3 linked regions of the Oryctolagus cuniculus genome follow. The protein of the gene in region 1 purifies or fractionates together with the protein of each later gene. This does not show direct contact. Links are inferred from orthologs where the notes say so. Each region holds a gene or a part of one and is shown in the gene's direction. Other genes may lie near its edges.

Evidence for each region. Proteins that work in one complex are often made in the same cells at the same time.
Region 2: the proteins of BYSL (region 1) and RIOK2 purify together in Homo sapiens (affinity purification with mass spectrometry; 3 studies listed by BioGRID and IntAct, with this or other methods). This does not show direct contact. The link is inferred for Oryctolagus cuniculus from reciprocal best matches to the Homo sapiens genes BYSL and RIOK2.
Region 3: the proteins of BYSL (region 1) and CSNK1D purify together in Homo sapiens (affinity purification with mass spectrometry; 3 studies listed by BioGRID and IntAct, with this or other methods). This does not show direct contact. The link is inferred for Oryctolagus cuniculus from reciprocal best matches to the Homo sapiens genes BYSL and CSNK1D.

Annotation. Positions count from the first base shown.
Region 1 is NC_091436.1:127,985,965-127,991,587, reverse strand, and holds the start of BYSL (bystin), read left to right. Parts: upstream 1-1,774; 5' UTR 1,775-2,112; coding exon 2,113-2,380; intron 2,381-5,623. Other genes in the region: MED20 (mediator of RNA polymerase II transcription subunit 20), read right to left, coding at 1,577-1,590. UniProt on the Homo sapiens protein: Required for processing of 20S pre-rRNA precursor and biogenesis of 40S ribosomal subunits. May be required for trophinin-dependent regulation of cell adhesion during implantation of human embryos.
Region 2 is NC_091445.1:19,844,560-19,850,397, reverse strand, and holds the start of RIOK2 (serine/threonine-protein kinase RIO2), read left to right. Parts: upstream 1-2,568; 5' UTR 2,569-2,657; coding exon 2,658-2,723; intron 2,724-5,675; coding exon 5,676-5,814; intron 5,815-5,838. UniProt on the Homo sapiens protein: Serine/threonine-protein kinase involved in the final steps of cytoplasmic maturation of the 40S ribosomal subunit. Involved in export of the 40S pre-ribosome particles (pre-40S) from the nucleus to the cytoplasm.
Region 3 is NC_091448.1:745,016-750,604, forward strand, and holds the start of CSNK1D (casein kinase I), read left to right. Parts: upstream 1-2,319; 5' UTR 2,320-2,650; coding exon 2,651-2,726; intron 2,727-3,201; exon of another isoform or gene 3,202-3,339; intron 3,340-5,160; exon of another isoform or gene 5,161-5,180; intron 5,181-5,589. UniProt on the Homo sapiens protein: Essential serine/threonine-protein kinase that regulates diverse cellular growth and survival processes including Wnt signaling, DNA repair and circadian rhythms. It can phosphorylate a large number of proteins.

The DNA of each region.
Region 1 (5,623 bases):
TAATCTGCTACACACAGTCCCAACCCCTGTGCTGCAACTTTTCCACCTCCATCCCGCACCAGCACCCTCACTCTGCAGGGCTTGGGAGGGTTGTGGTAGGGGAAACAAGAGTGCAAGCCCCAGAAACCCCTGGCTACTGGGAGAAATTGTGTTCCCTCTACCCCCAACTATTTTTAAAAGAGAAGCCTAGGGGGCCAGTGCTGTGGTGCAGTAGGTTAATCCTCCATTTGTGGTGCCGGTATCCCATATGGGTGCCGGTTCGAGTCTTGGCTCCTCCTCTTCCAATCCAGCTCTCTGCTATGGCCTGGGAAAGCAACAGAAGATGGCCCAAGCGCTTCGGATTGGCGCAGCTCCAGCCATTGGGGCCATCTGGGGAGTGAACGAGCAGATGGAAGACCTTTCTGTCTCTCCCTCTCACTGTCTGTAACTCTACCTCTCAAATCTTTCAAAAAAGAGAAAAAAAAGAGAAGCCTATAACTCCTGGCTTCAGATATCCTGGCCTCCAGGCCTCTCTGATGAGATGCTCACAACCAAGACTTAAAAAAAAAAAAAAAAAGAAGAAGAAGAAAAAAGGTGCAGAGACCCAGCACCTTGGAACTAAGGTCTCCAAGATCCCTGGGTTCATACCCTTCCCCTCCACCCCATCCTCTTCCATCTGGGTTTGAGAACATGTTCAGAGATTTAAAAGTCCATTGGGGGCCAGTGCTGTGGCGTGGAGGGTAAAGCAGCTGCTTGTAGAGCTGGCATCCCATGTGGGTGCCGATTTGAGAGCCGGCTGCTCCACTTCCGATCCAGCTCTCTGTCATGGCCTGGGAAAGCAGTAGAAGATGGCCCAGGTGCTTGGGCCCCTGCACCCCCATGGGAGACCTGGAAGAAGCTACAGGCTCCTGATCGGCCCAGCTCCGGCTATTGCAGCCATTTGGGGAGAGAACCAGCAGATGGAAGCTCTCTCTCTGCCCCTGCCTTTCTTTAACTCTGCCTTTCAAATAAATAAATCTTTTTTTTTTTTAAGTGCACTGAAACTGAATCAACCGTATAAACGTAGTAGGAGGCAGGTCATGAGGAAGTAAAGTGTCTGGAAACCTGATCTTCTAATTCCCAGTAGTTTCCATTTTGATCCTGTAGACCCGAATGAGAACCAGATACAGGCTGATTATTGGGTGGCTACAGGTAGGGGGAGGCGAACACACAAACACCGCCTCGTTGCCTATCTCCTATCAGCTTTAACCCTACCTGCGGGTGGGTTCTAGTCTGAAAAGCCCTGTTTCCGACCTCGAAGTCCCACTTTCTGCACTACTAGGATTTCAAGGGTAGCAAGACGTACCAAGAAAAAGAGAAGAGGGTACACAACCCATGCATAAGGTTCCTGAGATAAAACCTTTTCCTTGCTTCCTTCCAGGAGCAATGGGGCCCATTAGGGCCCGAGACTCACGGCCCTTAGAGTGCCCACATCCACGCAGCCCGAGGGCATTTTGCTCAGCTCCCGGAGAACGGCGGACTTCAGTCCCCGACCCTCCAGGTTTCAAGGGACCTTCACGACCCAAGTCCCGCCCCATAAAACCCTTTGTGATCCTACCAGGTCACTCCCATAGCGTCAGGCCTGGAAAGCGGCACGACCACACAGCCGAAACAGCGCTCTCCCGAAGCCCACAAGAACTAAAAACTACCGCAGGCTCGGGTCGCGGGAGGGGCTCCGGAAGTACGTAAAAACAGAGCGCCGGTTAGACGCACCAGCAGCGACTCTGGGTGACGCCTCCAGTGAGGTCATCGGCCCGATTCCCAGCCCCTCCCCTGGCTTGCAGTTCCGGAAGTTTCCGTTTGGTTGGCCACCCTGGTCCTAGATCCAGAAAGCTAGGAAAGCGTGGCCCGGGCTGCCACCATTTAGAGACGTCAACGTCAAAGGCAATGCATTTGTTCCGGGCTCCGGCTCCAGGACTCGGGAGTTCCCTGCGGGAGTGCAGTGGTGCTGGCTGCTTTTCTGGCCTCCGAACGCGTAGGGGCGCTGTGAGCGCGTGGCCTCTCGGCACAGACCTGGGCGTTCATTGCCGAGCGCACATCCTGGGCTGTCGCCGTACCCACGTGTGAGTTTGCCGGGCCGCATTATCGAGAAAAATGCCGAAATTCAAAGCGGCCCGTGGGGCTGGGGCTCAGGAAAAACACGCGCCCCTGGCCGAGCAGATCCTGGCTGGGAACGCGGTGCGGTCAAGTGCCCGGGAAAAGCGGCGGGGCCGCGGAACCGGGGAAGAGGAGGAAGAGTATGTGGGGCCCCGGCTGAGCCGGCGGATTTTGCAGCAAGCACGGCAGCAACAGGAGGAGCTGGAAACCGAGCACGGCTCTGGGGACGGGCCCGCCAAGCCTCGGGAGCGCGCCACGCGGCTGGGTGAGCGTCCGCGGGGAAGGCAGTAGTTGGGTTGGGGGGTGGACGGCCCACAGGTGTCCGGCAGGGGAGTACCTTGGATTCAAAACCGGGTTGCACGTTGCTCTCTACCGAGAGCAGGGCAGGTGGAAGACCGAACCCTGCAGGCCCGCTCCCTGTTTTTAGTGCTCCTTTCGCCGCGTCCCGCAAGTTAGGCCAATAGGAAGTGATGGCTCAGGCCACCAAGTTCTCCTAGCATTTGTCCAACGGTTTTGTAAATATGGGATGCTCGCTACCGGCTTTGCACGATGCTGGGAGTTTTGATGGATTGCGTGCAGAAATAAACAAGATATAGCTCGGGACCTTACAGTCTAAACCAAGAGAGAGACAATTAGAACAGTAAATTCCATGGGAAAGAAAGTCTCGTTTCTCTGGAAACGATAGCATTCGTGTAGGGGTCAGAGTTGCCCAGCCTGGAAGCTGAGACCTGAAACCGAATGTTCATAACAGAAAAAGCAGTATTGTTTAGGGGCCAAGTGGAGGGAGAGATGATTGAAAAATGTTGACTGTTTTCTCATAGGGGAGAAGCCTTGACCTCTGAGTTGTTTAACCGACTTCTCAGAGCTTATCTTATTTGTAGAAAAGCAGTATTTGACGCAATTGAACCCTGCTCTTCTGGCTACAGTATCTTTATCTGAAAGGCAGAGAGAGAAAACTTGCTTCCCCTAATCTACTTCCCAAACGCCTGCTGCCTGCTACGGCCAGGGCTGGGCCAGACCAAACCTGGAACTCAGTGTAGTTCTTCCGGGTGGGTTGCAGGGACACAATGACTTGAGCTCCCTCCTGTTGTCTCTCAGGGTCTATATTAGTGGGAAGCCTGAATCTGCAGTGGAACCAGGACTCGAACCCTGGCATTCAGTTATGGGATGTGGGTTTCCTAAGCTGTTTCTTTCTTTTTTTTCTTTTTTTAAGATTTATTTATTTACTTGAAAGGAAGAGACACAGAGATCTTTTATCCACTAGTTCACTCCCCAAATGGTCACAATGACTGAGCTGGGCCGGGCCAAATCCGGAGCTCCATCTGGGTCTCCTTGGCTTTTGCAGGCATTTGAAACTTCCTGTTCAAGTTTCATGATTTAACTACCATCTATTTAGTGAGTGTTACCTACTTTTTATTCCAGCCCTGATCTCTTCCAAGAAACTCAAAATTTTTTTATCTATTTATTTGAAATCTTGTATCCACTGGTTCATTCCCCAGATGGCGGCAACCAGCAAGGCTTCATCCCGGTCTCCCCTGTGGGTGCCGGGGCCCAAGCACTTGGGCCATCTTCTGCTGCTTTCCCCAGGCAATTAGCAGGGAACTGGGTCAGAAGTAGAGCAGCTGGGACTTGAACTGGCTTCATATGGGATGCTGGTGTCATAGGCAGCAGCTTCCTTCACCTGCTACACCACAACACCAGCCCCTGAAGCCCAAATTCTTATATTCAGCTGCTATTGGGCATCTCTCATTTGACATGTAAAAGACATCTCAAACTTACCATGTCCAAAACAAACTCTGACTCCCACACCTGGTCCTCCCCTGTCCTTGGTCTCCCTCCCCCTCCCTTTCTTTTCCCCCTCCTGTCTCCATGTCTTATTCATTAGGAAGTTCTGATGACCACCTCCGCCACCTTAGAAACGCCATCATGTCCAAGCCGCCATGTTCTGCGCTCGGGTTATTGTGGTACCCTCCTAACCACGATCCTGTTGCCCCTACAGCTACAGGGTTCTAATAGTGCACAGTGCCCTGTGTGATCTACCTCTATTACCGTCTGACCGCCGGCTTCTTTCCCTTTGTCCTCTACTCCACCATACAAATCTCATTGTTCCTTCTAAACATGGGCAGTTGGAGCCTGTGCCTGGCTGTTCCTTCTCCTGGATTAGTCTACTCCATTGCCTGCAGGCTTGCAGTTTATCTATTTGAAAGGCAGAGTCACAGAGAGGCAGAGAGAGGTCCCATTTGCTGGTTCACTCCCTGGGTGGTCACAACAGCCAGAACTTAGCAGATCCAAAGCCAGGAGCCGGCAGCTTCCTCCTGGTCTCCCACACTGGTACAGGGGCCCAAGGGCCTGGGCCATCTTCTAATCTTGTATTGCTTTCCCAGGCCACAGCAGAGAGCTGGATCAGAAGTGGAGCAGCTGGGACTCGAACCGGCACCCATATGGATGCCGGCACTGCAGGCAGTGGCCTCACCCACCACAGTGCTGGACCCCTCTGTACTTCTGACTTCTCTACTCTGTGTTTTGTCTTAGTACTTCTCTTCTTTTAATCCAATATATTTATATATTACGTCTATTTTTTATGTTTTTCTCCTCCAGTTAGAATGTAAGCTCTGTGAGGTCAACAATTTCTGTTTCTCTTGTTCACTGCTAACCTTCCAGCACTCTTACCAGTGCCTCACATGTAGCAGACACTCGATGTTCGCTGAGTAAATGGACTAATGAATGATGGTGAGGTAGGTAGGTAGGTGCCAAACCTGCAGAGCTCTTGGAGAGCATGCCCAGAATTGAAAGCCTTTCTAACAATGATGGGAAGCTGTGGGAGGGGTTTGAGTGCAGAACTGACCAAATCAAATGTGCGTTGCTGGCAGATTACTCTCCCTGCAGAGTGAAGAATGCAGTGGAGGGAAGTGAGACAAACATTAAGGGACTGCTGAATTAATCCAGCAAAAGATGCTGCAGATGGAGGCTTAGCCTGGGCTGTCAAGGACTTGAGAGACAGTCTGTGAGGTAAAATTCTGGGGACTAGGAGTTGGTAGTTGATTGGAGGTTGAAGGTGAGGGCAGGGCATGAGGCAGGGCTGCTTCCCAAGCTCAGTGTTGAGTCCGGGATGGTGCCGTTTACCCAGCTTTGGAGGACTGAGCAGTGTAGACCGTGAGGGAAGGGAATGAGTTCTCTTGATGAAGGTGGAGTTTGAGGTGCCTGTGAGTCTTCCCCAAGCAGCTGTTCCACGAGGCACCTGGAGTCAGCATCTGGAAGTAAGAATGGAATGGAGAAAAATGTCTGCCTCCCATCCCAATGGAGCTTTAGAATTTTTTTTTTTTTTTGAAGATTTATTTATTTATTTGAAAGGCAGAGTTACAGAGAGGCAGAGAGAGAGAGGTCTTCCATCCGCTGGTTCACTCCCCAGAGGGCTGCAGTGGCTGGAGCTGCACCGATCTGAAGCCAGGAGCTTCTTACAGGTCTCCCACACAGATGCAGGGGCCCAAGTGGCTTTACTTGCTGTGCT
Region 2 (5,838 bases), on another chromosome or scaffold:
ATCACAAGGGAGCCCCAGGGAGGTATAAACTTGGTCAACAGTAGCTCATGACACAGGAAAGTCCAGGCTACCTGTTCATGATGCTTGTTTGTGCCCTCTCATCTAATTTGTGCTTAGTTCTACATGTATCACTTTCATCTTATGACAGACTGCTGCTGAACCCCCCCCCCCCGCTTTATAACATGTGACAAAACCAGTCTGTGCAGCACAATTGTGAGCACACTATCACCTGACAGATCAATGTTAGGCAACCCATTTCCCAAGGAATCTAGTGTGCCAGGAGCTGTTTTTCAACAGTTATACGATAATTCTTGGTGTGTATTCCACTACACTCCAGAACTTCCAAGTCTGAATTATAAGTCCCTCACTGGAATACTCTGCAAATTCCACATATCTACATAATTCATACTGTGTGTTTCCTCACCACTGATATCCCTAACACACAAAAGTACAGCACACACAGCCTTTGTGTGGTAAAGTATTTCACAACTTTCATGAGTTTTAGCTAGTATGGTATCTTAATCATAAATACACAATTTTTCTTCCCTTTGAACTTAAACTTTTAACTCAGTCTCCTTGTTTAAATTTTGCCACAAATTGTAGAACTCATGTATATCATGACCAGAAAAAAGAGCGAGGGCAGCATTACAGGTGGAAATAGTGAGGAAGGTAATAAAGGGAGTTGCATGAAGAAAAAAAAGCTACTTGAAAGTAATGATACAGATTGTTAGAGAATGGATGCCATCCTAAGGAGTTTGAACTTTAATCTGTAGACAGCCAAGATCTCTGTAGTGTGTAAGGGACAGGGGTGTGCGTACATGCTAGAGAGTGAGTGAGTGATTGTAGTTGGAATCTGGAAGCAGTAAATAATGATATGATAAACTCTTTGCACCTAAGTCACATATACTCTAATCTTTTAATTCACTGCCATCCACCATTAAATTTAAGGCTTAGGATTGAGTGAGGAGCTAGCAAAAAGGCTGGCATATGCGTTTGATAAATGGTAGATGAAGACTATTGCACATTTTCTGTTTAAGTCATCACTTAAGCATGGAATACTAGAGTAGAATAGAATAACAAACTGAACTTTAATTACTTACCTTTACTCTTTGATGGTCTGATCATGAAGATTTCATTTAAAAAATTAATATTGAAAGTAAGAGGTTGCATTCAATGTGATTGATCCTACAGCACACTCTGATTCAGCAATTCTAGCCATATCTAGTCAGTTAGTAGTGGCTGTCCGAAGCAGTGCTGTGAAGTATGGATTGTGCTATAACAGTTTGGCAATGTCTGCTAAAGTGCTGAATTAGTTGACACCCAAATAGTGTTCACCACTCCATTGTTGCTTTAGAAGTTAGTCATTTGGTTCCTTTAAATCTTAGCATTTCTATGTGAAGTACAGAAAGAAAAAAGTCGTACAAATGGAGATGTTCACCAGTTGATCATGGTTAATCATGGACTGTTGCGTTCAAGTAAGCAGCAGCCAGAGACTGGAAAATAGTGGGGGTAAAGGGCCGTTCTTCCTTTTCCATTTCAACATTTCAGAACACCGAGTACCCAGTGGAAAGGGACGATCACAATCAGCTGCCTGCCTCCAGACAACAAGTTTGTTGTATAAGCTCTAGCTCTGGACGGAGCGGCGCACGCAGGACGGGACTTGAAGGGGCGGGAAATCAGCACATCAGTCTGTGGAAGCCAGAAAAAGATGGAGCCATGTAAACACCGAATTCCTAGGGCCCAGAGAGCGGTTAAACACCAGGGATTGGGAGTAAGTCAAGGCTGAGGTGGACCAGAATGCTCCGTAACAATACGTAGCATTCACCATTACGGGGTGAGTGTAGCAAGGTGTTAATCGTTCACAAGTTTAAAACAGTGCATGACCTTCGAGGACACACGTCACACACGTGTTGTTACGCTGGTCCTGATGTTGGAGGGAAGGGTAGAGTGCGCGTCCATTTGCCTGGGTGCAAAACTGCTTTCAATCCTGCTCCAGTCACCATTTCTGTAAGGCCCAGAGCCAGAGTAAAGCCCTCGAGCCTCCAAGTACTACTGGTACAGCTCCGCCCACAACCAAGCAAGCACCCACTTCCGGGCAAAATGCGCGCGGGAAAATGACGTCACAGCGCCCACACTCTCGGCTTAAACCCCCGCCCGGCAGGCGCATTCTTGAGGTAGTAAGCGAGCAAGCGCGAAAACGTTCTCCTGAGCCGCGCGATTTCGTGTCCCTAAGGGGTGCAGTTAGGAATTACAGTCGTCGTCTCTGGTCTCCCTCCAGTTCAGTCCAGCTCTCTTGTTGGGACTCGGGATAACATGAGTTCCTGCCGTAAAGTCACCACTCCGCTGAGGCGAAACACAGCCTCAAGGCAGCCAGTCCTGACAGGTGTGAAAAACAAAACGCCGAATTGTAGAGAGCATTTACACTCCACCAACTCAGTTCCACGCAAAATCGATGGCAAATAAAACGCCCCCTTGTTCCCCGCCCGGCGCTCCATCACACAGGCGACGCCTCACTCCAGCACGCCCCGGGGACCAGAGCGCCTTCTTTCCGCGACAAGGACCTGGAGCGCACGCCGGCGCATGCGCAGGCGACGCGCGGCCGTCACGCACGCGGGAGGCCGTGCGCTGCGCGCCGGGCTGGCTGTGGAGCCGCCGCCATGGGCAAGGTGAATGTGGCCAAGTTGCGCTACATGAGCCGGGATGACTTCAGGGTCCTGACAGCGGTAAGAAACGCTTCCCCTGTGACCTTCCCGACGGTGCGTTTTCAGATGGACAGAGCTGAGCCGGCGCGCCCCGCGCCTGCGGACGCGCCGACGCTGGGAACCGGGAAAAGAGCCCTGGAGAGTCGGATTTTTACAGGGCTTATGTGTGGCATTTGTCGTCCCCCAGCGAGCGCCAAGGCCCCGTCTCCTAGTCATTTTCCTTCCCTTCTGGTCTCTCCCCGAGCTGGAGAGACGCTCGCCTCGCCGTGGCCTGGTCTCTGCCTCGGGCTTCCGGCAGCCGGAAGGGTTTGAGTCCCGTCCCGAGGACACTCGGTGCCTCTGAGTGCATCCTCAGGTCCCAGTATTAACCTCAGATTCTCTCAGCACGTTTGCCGGGGCTTTTCATAGCGAACTGGACGGTATCAGGGAGTAAGGGCCGGGAAGATGGGAGAGGACGCGGGAATGCAAGGCTCTGGGCGTCCGGCGGAGGGTGCGGCGAGTGCTGTCGTTGAATTGTGTAGTCGGGGAAGACTCCCCGCGTGCGAGGGTCTCGTCTGTTTACGGTTGTGACCAAGGTCCACAGGACTTTCTTGTTTTGTTTTTGTTTAAGTTATTGTCTCTTGGTAGGCAGTAAATTAATATCCTGCGACGTGAAAAAAAAAAGAATGAGAAGTTAATAAGGAGCCTGCTCAGCTGTAGAAGTTGGGGGCAGTGACAAGAGCAAGACCCTAGGGTGGGAAATCCCTGAAGAAAGGAAAGACCGGCGTGACTGGGGCGGAGTGAGCTTAGATTGGAGACATACCTGGGAAAGTCGTTGCCAGATTGTGTACCATACAGCTTTTCAGGCTTGGTAAAGGTGGCAGGGGACGGGGAGCCACTGAACGTTTCTGGTCAAGGCACAGAGATCAGTGACGTTAACGAAGCCAGTACTTTTCTTTAGGACCCATTATGGTTTGATAAGGAGTGAGCCCCATGCTGAAGACTCTGTATGGTGTCATTATGTGATGGCACTCAAGCATGTCATATGAGTCACACTGGTTCTTGTACTATTTTTAAGGCTTTATGTTGGATTTTGGAAATGAGTCTTAAATAGCAATACCCAAGGATTAAACTATCAAAGACAAAAATCTATATGAAATTCGAAGACACTCTTCTTTCTCTCATACATCCTTCAGGTCAACTGGTCTTTGTGTAATTACCTACGATCACCTCTGAAAGCTCCCTTCTCTGCTTGCTCAGCACATTGATCCATTCCTTACTGCCTCTCACAGTCACGAGGAATAGTGTTAGATCCTGGAGAGACAGGGTCCAAGTGTGCAAGATGAATTAAGTTAAAGTGTGAAGTTTGGTGGGACATCAAAATGATGACAGATTTATCTTTCCAAACTTGGACTCTTAATATTCAAATTCTTTCTAAGGGGGCCAGCACTTAACCTAGTAAGGTTAAGCCTCCGCCTGCAGTGCCGTCATCCCTCATGAGTCCCAGCCACTCCACTTCCCATCCAGCTCCCTGCTAATGCATCTGGGAAAGCGGTGGAAGATGGCCCAAGTGCTTGGCCCCCTACACCCACATGGGAGACCCAGAAGAAGCTCCTGGCTTCAGATCAGCCCAGCTCCAGCTGTTGCAGCCATTTGGGGAGTGAACCAGCAGATGGAAGACCTCTCTCTCTCTCTCTCTCTCTCTGTAATTCTTCCCCTCAAATAAATAAATACATATTTGAAAAATTAAAAAATTCTCTCTGGAGCCCACCAAAGAATACTCCAGCCATTAAACATGACAGCCCAGTCTCAGTTGAATTTCACCACTGCCAACACCTTTTCTTACCCTCTTCTTCCCTTTAATTTCTTTGTCTCTTTATATATGATTTGTTGGCCCTACCTTTTTTTTTAATATTTTTTTTATTTATTTGAGAGGTTGAGTTACAGACAGCAAGAGGGAGAGACAAAGAAAGGTCTGCCATCCGCTGGTTCACTCCCCAATTGGCCGCAATAGCCGGAGCTGCGCCGATCCGAAGCCAGGAGCCAGGAGCTGCTTCCGGATCTCCCTCACAGATGCAGGGATCTAAGGACTTGGGCCATCTTCTATTGCTTTCCCAGGCCATAGCAGAAAGCTGGGTTGGAAGAGGAGCAGCCAGGACTAGAACCAGTGTCCATATGGGATGCTGTTGCCACAGGCAGAGGATTAACCTGTTGTGCCACAACACCGGCCCAGCCTTACCTTTCGATGTGAATTTCCTGCAAAATTCTTTCACCAGCCTTTCCTTTTGTTCCATTATTTCTTGGTGATGGCATCCACTTTACAGTCTCATCTTTCATCTCTGCCAAAAAATAGACCCTGTTTCCCCAATTATGAGTTGACTCCTAAGTTCCCAATTTCCCTGTAAACATCTGCAATTGACTTTTATGTGCTCAAACCAAATCAGTCAACTTTACCCTCTTCCTTGTTTCCCAAACTACCAAAAAACATAATTTTAAATTGTACTCTTCCTCCTCACTTCCAGCTTAAATTCCTCTCTCCTTTTGCCCTCCTACATCAAAACGCAAAACTTCTTAAAGCCCTTGAAGTCCTTCCTTTGATTATCACTAAAACATTTATAGTTTTTCAAGACAACTGTTTAGATGTCAGCAGGTATTTTAGGCTTCATCATGTATCATTATCTATGCCAAGGACTCAGAATCTGTACCCTTGAAGTGCAGTAGAGATATGTTGTTAGTGATTACATATCAAATTATAACTGATGGTAATTTTGTTTCATAATTATGATTCCCCAGAAGATGTTCTAGTCAATGGCAGACTGCATATGCAACAGGGATTCCGCAAGATTGTATCACTTAGTGACATAGCAGGTGTCTTAGTTTGTGAAAGTGCAAAACTTGCCTAATAACCCATGTCTCAGAATGTATCCCTTACAGAATTTTGGTAGACAAGGCTTTATGGTAGTTATGATCATATAATGATTCCTTTCATTTCAGGTTGAAATGGGCATGAAGAACCATGAAATAGTTCCCTGCAGTTTGATTGCTTCTATAGCCAGCCTTAAACATGGTGGCTGTAATAAAGTTTTAAGAGAATTAGTGAAACATAAACTCATAGCCTGGGAGCGTACCAAAAGTAAGTATGTTTTAAGACAGAATT
Region 3 (5,589 bases), on another chromosome or scaffold:
CGGCCACGGCCACGGCCACGCTTCCTTCAGTCACACAGAACACTCGACGCTGCAGCTGCCGGGGCCGGCCCCGTGGCGCCGCAGGAGTGAGTCAGCAGCCACCAGTCCCGGCCGCCCCACTGCCGTCCAGCTCCTGGCCGATGCACCTGGAAGACAGTGGAAAGCAGCCCAAATGCTTGGGTCCCTCCCCCACTGTGGGAGACCCGCAAGAAGCTCCTGGATCCTGGCTTTAGCCATTTGGGGAGTGAATCAGCAGATGGGAAATCTCTCTCTCTAACTCTGCCTTTCAAATAATTTTTTTTTTTTTGACAGGCAGAGTGGACAGTGAGAGAGAGAGACAGAGAGAAAGGTCTTCCTTTGCCGTTGGTTCACCCTCCAATGGCCACTGTGGCCGGCGCTGCGCTGATCCGAAGGCAGGAGCCAGGTGCTTTTCCTGGTCTCCCATGGGGTGCAGGGCCCAAGCACCTGGGCCATCCTCCACTGCACTCCCGGGCCACAGCAGAGAGCTGGCCTGGAAGAGGGGCAACCGGGACAGAATCCGGCGCCCCGACCGGGACTAGAACCCGGCGTGCCGGCGCCACAAGGCGGAGGATTAGCCTAGTGAGCCGCGGCGCTGGCCTCAAATAAATATTTTTTAAAAACTGGAGCTGCCATGAAAAACCTAGAAATTTAAAACTTTGAGTCCCTCTGCGTCCAGCGTCTGCATCTCACAATGATGATCGCCTTTCCTTTTCTGTTTAATGAGAGAGAGAGAGAGAGAGAGAGAGAGAGAGAGAGTCCATCCACTGAAGATCACTCCCTCAGTGGCTGCAACAGCCAGGGCTGGGCCAGTCTGATGCCAGAAACCAGGAGCTCTGTGCAGGTGTCCCACGTGGGTGCCGGGGCCCAGGCACTCGGGCCGTCCACTGCTGCTTTCTGGACCGGAAGTGGTGTAGCGGGGACTCTAACTGGCGCCCATCTGGGATGCCAGCACCGCAGGAGGCGGCTGAACCCTGACCCCACTGAGCTCGCATGCAAGTCACCCGCCCCCCCTGGGCCAGTGTTTCTGTGGGCCAACTACTGGAGGTGCCGGCTGGAGGCCACCGGGGCCAGTCCCAGCAGTCAGGCAGGAGCAGCCGCCTGGAGTGGCCTCGCTGCTGCAGGGGGCTCCGGGGAACCTGACGTCCAGTCTGGCCTCAGGTCACTCAAGTGGGCAGAGGGGCGGAGTCGGAGCACAAGGGGCAGAAAGGCGGGAGCAGGGCGCTCCTGGGGCTGGGGGATGCCTCACACGGGGGCCGCAGCCGGTGCTGGGGCAGCTGGGCAGCACCGCTCCCGCCGGGGTCCCTCCTGGGCGCCACAGGCACCAGCTCTGGTCCCGGTGACACCCCCTTGTCCTGAGCCGTTCCGAGAATGAGCAGCAGGCCGAGGGGTTGCCCCAAGCCCTGCAGCTCCTCGAGGCGCTGGCAGGAACTGCAGGGAGTGGGCGCCAGGCTCCTCCTGCCCCCCTCCCCCGCCTTCCCGCAGAAGAGCTAGGAGCACATTGTGTCCACGAGGTGCAAAATCCACCTCTGACCCGTGAGCCCGAGAACCTGGTTCCAGGCCTGACTGGTGCCCGGGGCCCCAAAACCTGACCTCCAGACGTTGGGGGTCAGGAGGCTGGATGGAGCAGAGTGTGGCTGGGGATGCGTGCCCTGGTGCTCGCCTTCAGCAGGCTGGGGAGCACGCGGAAGCCCCAGAAGATCGCCCTTCTTGGGCCCCCCCCCCCGGGGTGTCTGGAGGGGACCAACCCCGTCGGGATGCCTGGAAGAGCCCCCCACCGTCTCTGCGGGCAGAGCTCAGGCACAGGGATCCAGAGCTGCCTTCGGCCTTAACTTTGGAGTCCGTGACCTCCTTCGCAAGGACGCCCAGACCCCACGAAGCTGGGACCCAACGCTGACTCCGGCCAGCGCCCAGCCTCACCCCGCGTCCTTCCTGCGGGGGCCCGCACGCCGTTTCCGCGCTCGCAGCCTACAGGGCTCCCTCCGGATCGGGGCGGGGGCGGGGGCGGGGGGAGGTGTCAGCTCCAGCCCCGGGAGCCCCCGACCCCCGTCTCCTTCCTGCACACGACCCGCTCGGGTCCTTTCCTAGGTCGGTCGCGAGGCATCTGCGGGGCAGGGGACGCCGGCACGTGGTGCCCGCTGGCGACAAGACGACGGGTGGCCTTGGGTGGCGGGGACCGAGGGGCGAGGGGCCGGGGTCCGGCGTTGCGGGCGCGGGGCGGGCAGTGCGCAGGAGCTCGCTCGCCCCGCCCCAGCGGCGAGGCCCCGCCCACCGAGCGGCGAGGCCCCGCCCCGCCGGGTTGCTAGGGGAAGTGACGTCACAGCACGATGGCGGCGGTTCCTTTAGGCAGCTGAAGGGGGATTTAGGCCCGGAAGATCCGAGTCCATCCGCGGCGGGGAGAGGGCGAGCTGGGCCGGCACGGGCCGGAGCAGGGGCGGCGGCGCTCGAACTGTCCCATCCGCCCCGTATTGAGGCGCTGGGAGCGGTGGAGCGGCCGGAAAGCTATGGTGAAAGCGGGGCCGTGAGGGGGGCGGAGCCGGAGCCGGACCCGCAGTAGCGGCAGCAGCGGCGCCGCCTCCGGAGCTCAGACCCAGGAAGCGGCCGGGAGGGCAGGGGCGAGCGGGCCGCCGCCATGGAGCTGAGAGTCGGGAACAGGTACCGGCTGGGCCGGAAGATCGGCAGCGGCTCCTTCGGAGACATCTATCTCGGTGAGGCCCCGCGAGCCGCCGCCGCCCCTCCCCCCGGCCGCCCCTTCCCGCGGGGGACCCGCACCCCGCAGCTGTCCGAGGCCGGGCGGCCGCGGAAGGCGGGGGCGAGGGCTCAGGAGCCGCCGGATCGTGGCCAGAAACCATCGGCCGCTCGGCGGACAGCGGGGTCTGGGGGTGGGCAGGACGTGGGGGGGGTCAGCGAGGCCTAGGGGGAGGGGACAGCGGCGCCTGGGGATGGGCCGGGCCGGGGGCGCAGTGGCACCGAGCAGTGGGACGAGGTCCGGTGAGGAGGGGGCTGGACAGCAGGATCGGGGGCGCGGGGCCTCCGGGAGGGGGTGCCGCCGGGTCTAGGGGTCTCCGGGCCTGGGGGCGGGCAGGGCCTGGAGCAGGCAGGGGGCAGGGCCGGGCGGCAGCGTCCTCCGCTGGCCTGAGGTCGCCGCCGTCAACAAAGGCCACTGTCCCCCGTCTGCGGTGGGTCTGGCGCCTGCTGGGGCACCCGCATCCCCGCACTGCACACGTGTGGGCGAAATGTCAGCATGACCTGCGTGCTGGGGGCGGTGGGGGGGTCCCTGTCAGAAACGGCTCCTGGTGGCTTCCGCTGGCCCCCTTGCAGGTAACTGACCGGCCGCGGGCCCTGTGGGCCGCCCCTCCCCCCCGCGCACGCACACACACGCGCGCACACGACACCTTAGTCCCCAGTAGGAGGGCGGAAAGTGTTGTCTGGGCCGGGACGCGCCCCGCAGCCATTTCCGGGACCTGTGGGCCCTCGTCCGTGCCCAGGTGTGGGCCCCGGCAGAGGCCAGTGACGGGTCGGGAGGCGCACGGTGCGGGATTTCCCGGGAGCTTGGTTCCGCGGTGGAATCCCGTTCCTGAGTGACTCCGAAGCCCGGGCCGGCAGGTGCACTTGCTGTGAAGGGCGGGTGAACAGGCCCTGCCTCTGTCCTGCGCTCCGGCCGTCGAGGGCGGAGGTGGTCGTGAGGACCTCTGGGGCCTGGGTGCTTCCAGGCCGCGTGGATGTCTGAACCTGAGTTTCTCCCTTAATAGCCTGCTGAGTAAAACATGCTTCAGAGGCATTTTAAATATTTATTCTAAGTAGTCTGCCAGCTGCGCGCTCAGCAGTGCCGGGAGCCGGAGTGCCGGGTAAATGGAAGTAGTTGGCTTATTTATAGAACAATGGATTTTTGGCAAAAGTTTTAACCTCAGGATTTGGGATCTACACCGAAAAGCCAGCCCATCAAGCACCCTTCCGTGGGCATCAAAAGGGGAGGCTTTGACACTTTGTTCTGCGGCCTGAGACGGCTTTGTGCTGTCAGAGGTGGGTTCAGCCAGTCCAGTCGTGGCACGGTGGTCACCAGGCGACTCACGGACACGGGAGCTTCCTGTGGAGTGGAAGCCCAGTGAGGCGCCGTCCTCGGCTACCCCGCTGTGCTGGCTGGGCACGCCGTGGCACTGCGTACAGTCCGGCTCCAGAGGCCGCTGCCTCTCACATGGGCTGTGGCCCGCATCCCTCAGGGCACGACCCGTCTTCCTCCAGCAGCGTTGGCGCTGGGCCCACGGCTGACCCTCTGAGGACAGGCTGTGCAGGCTGGTCGTGCCTGTGTCGGACTTGAGGTGTCGCGACCCCTTCTCGTGTGGCGTGAGTGCCCTTGACCCTGCCCTCCTGCTTTGAGCTCCTACCTGGCATTTCGTGTGCTTCCAGGTGTTTGGAGCTGGAAGGAGGGAAGGCAGGGGCGGGGTGGGGCCAGCACCCTAGGGCTATTTGCCAAATGCCTGGGCTCCGGAAAGTGTATGTGCTGGGTTTGGGCCGCTAAGAAATTCAATGTCAGTTGTCAGTCTCAGCCTGCCGCATCCAGAAGTCTCTTCAGAAGGGCAAGCTGGCAAGGTGTGGCAGCCCGCACACCTGTGGAGTGGCGCTGGTGTGGGCCGTGGCTGTGTGCCCCCTGCGCTGGCACTGTGGTGGCCGTGTATGTCACCATGTGCTGGAGGTGGGGGGTGTCCAAGGCAGTGGAAACCCCTTTCACTCCTACACACTTGCTAGCCTCTGAAAACAGAGGACGTGTTCCTAGTGTGGACCGTGTGTTCCCAGCCTGGCATCCCAGGGAAGAGGCCGCGCAGGCTGGCGGGGCCCGGCACGGCTGAGCCTCTGTCCTCCGTCGCGTTGGTCTCCAGAGGCAGGCGGTGGGAGCTGAGTGCCGGGAGGGGGGCCCTCGCCGGCGGCTGGCGTTGGTCTCCATCCTGGGGAGGGGCCCTGAGCAGCCTCTTTTGGTTTTCACATTTCCCCCGGCTCAGCTGTCTCTGGAGCGGCACCGCGCGGGGTGTGTAGCACGCAGAACCCCACAGTGCTGGCGGCCTGGAGAGGAGAGGAGTTCCCGATTCTTCTTCCGGCATCGCCCCTGTGCCGTGTGGAGGGCCGGGGCGTCTGTGTCCCTCGGAAGTGGGCTTCCCTGAGTGCTGGTAGGAGAAGCCACAGTTCTGCCTGGGCCACCTGGCTGACAGGTGCCCTGTGAGATGACCGTTGCCCAGCTGCTCCGAGGCGGGTCCCTGTTGCCTTGTTGTTGGGACAGCGACATCCTGGCTGGCAGTGCAGAGTCCTTCCCCGCCCAGGGACGGGCTCCTGCTTCTGGGCTAGGCTCACTGGGTTCTCCCTCTGCTGTCTGCGCGCCCTGAGGGGTGCGCTTTTCTCTTCTAGGACCCACAGCAGCCTGTGTCCACATAGTGACTGACCCTCTTAGAGCAGGATTGCGGAGCTGCCGCTGCCCGCCCCGCTTTGGGCTTGGTCTGAATCTGGAACCGAGCTCAGCGACACCTGTCACACACTGGTCCTTCCGGGGCACTTCTCAGACCTCACCTGTGGTGGAGGGCA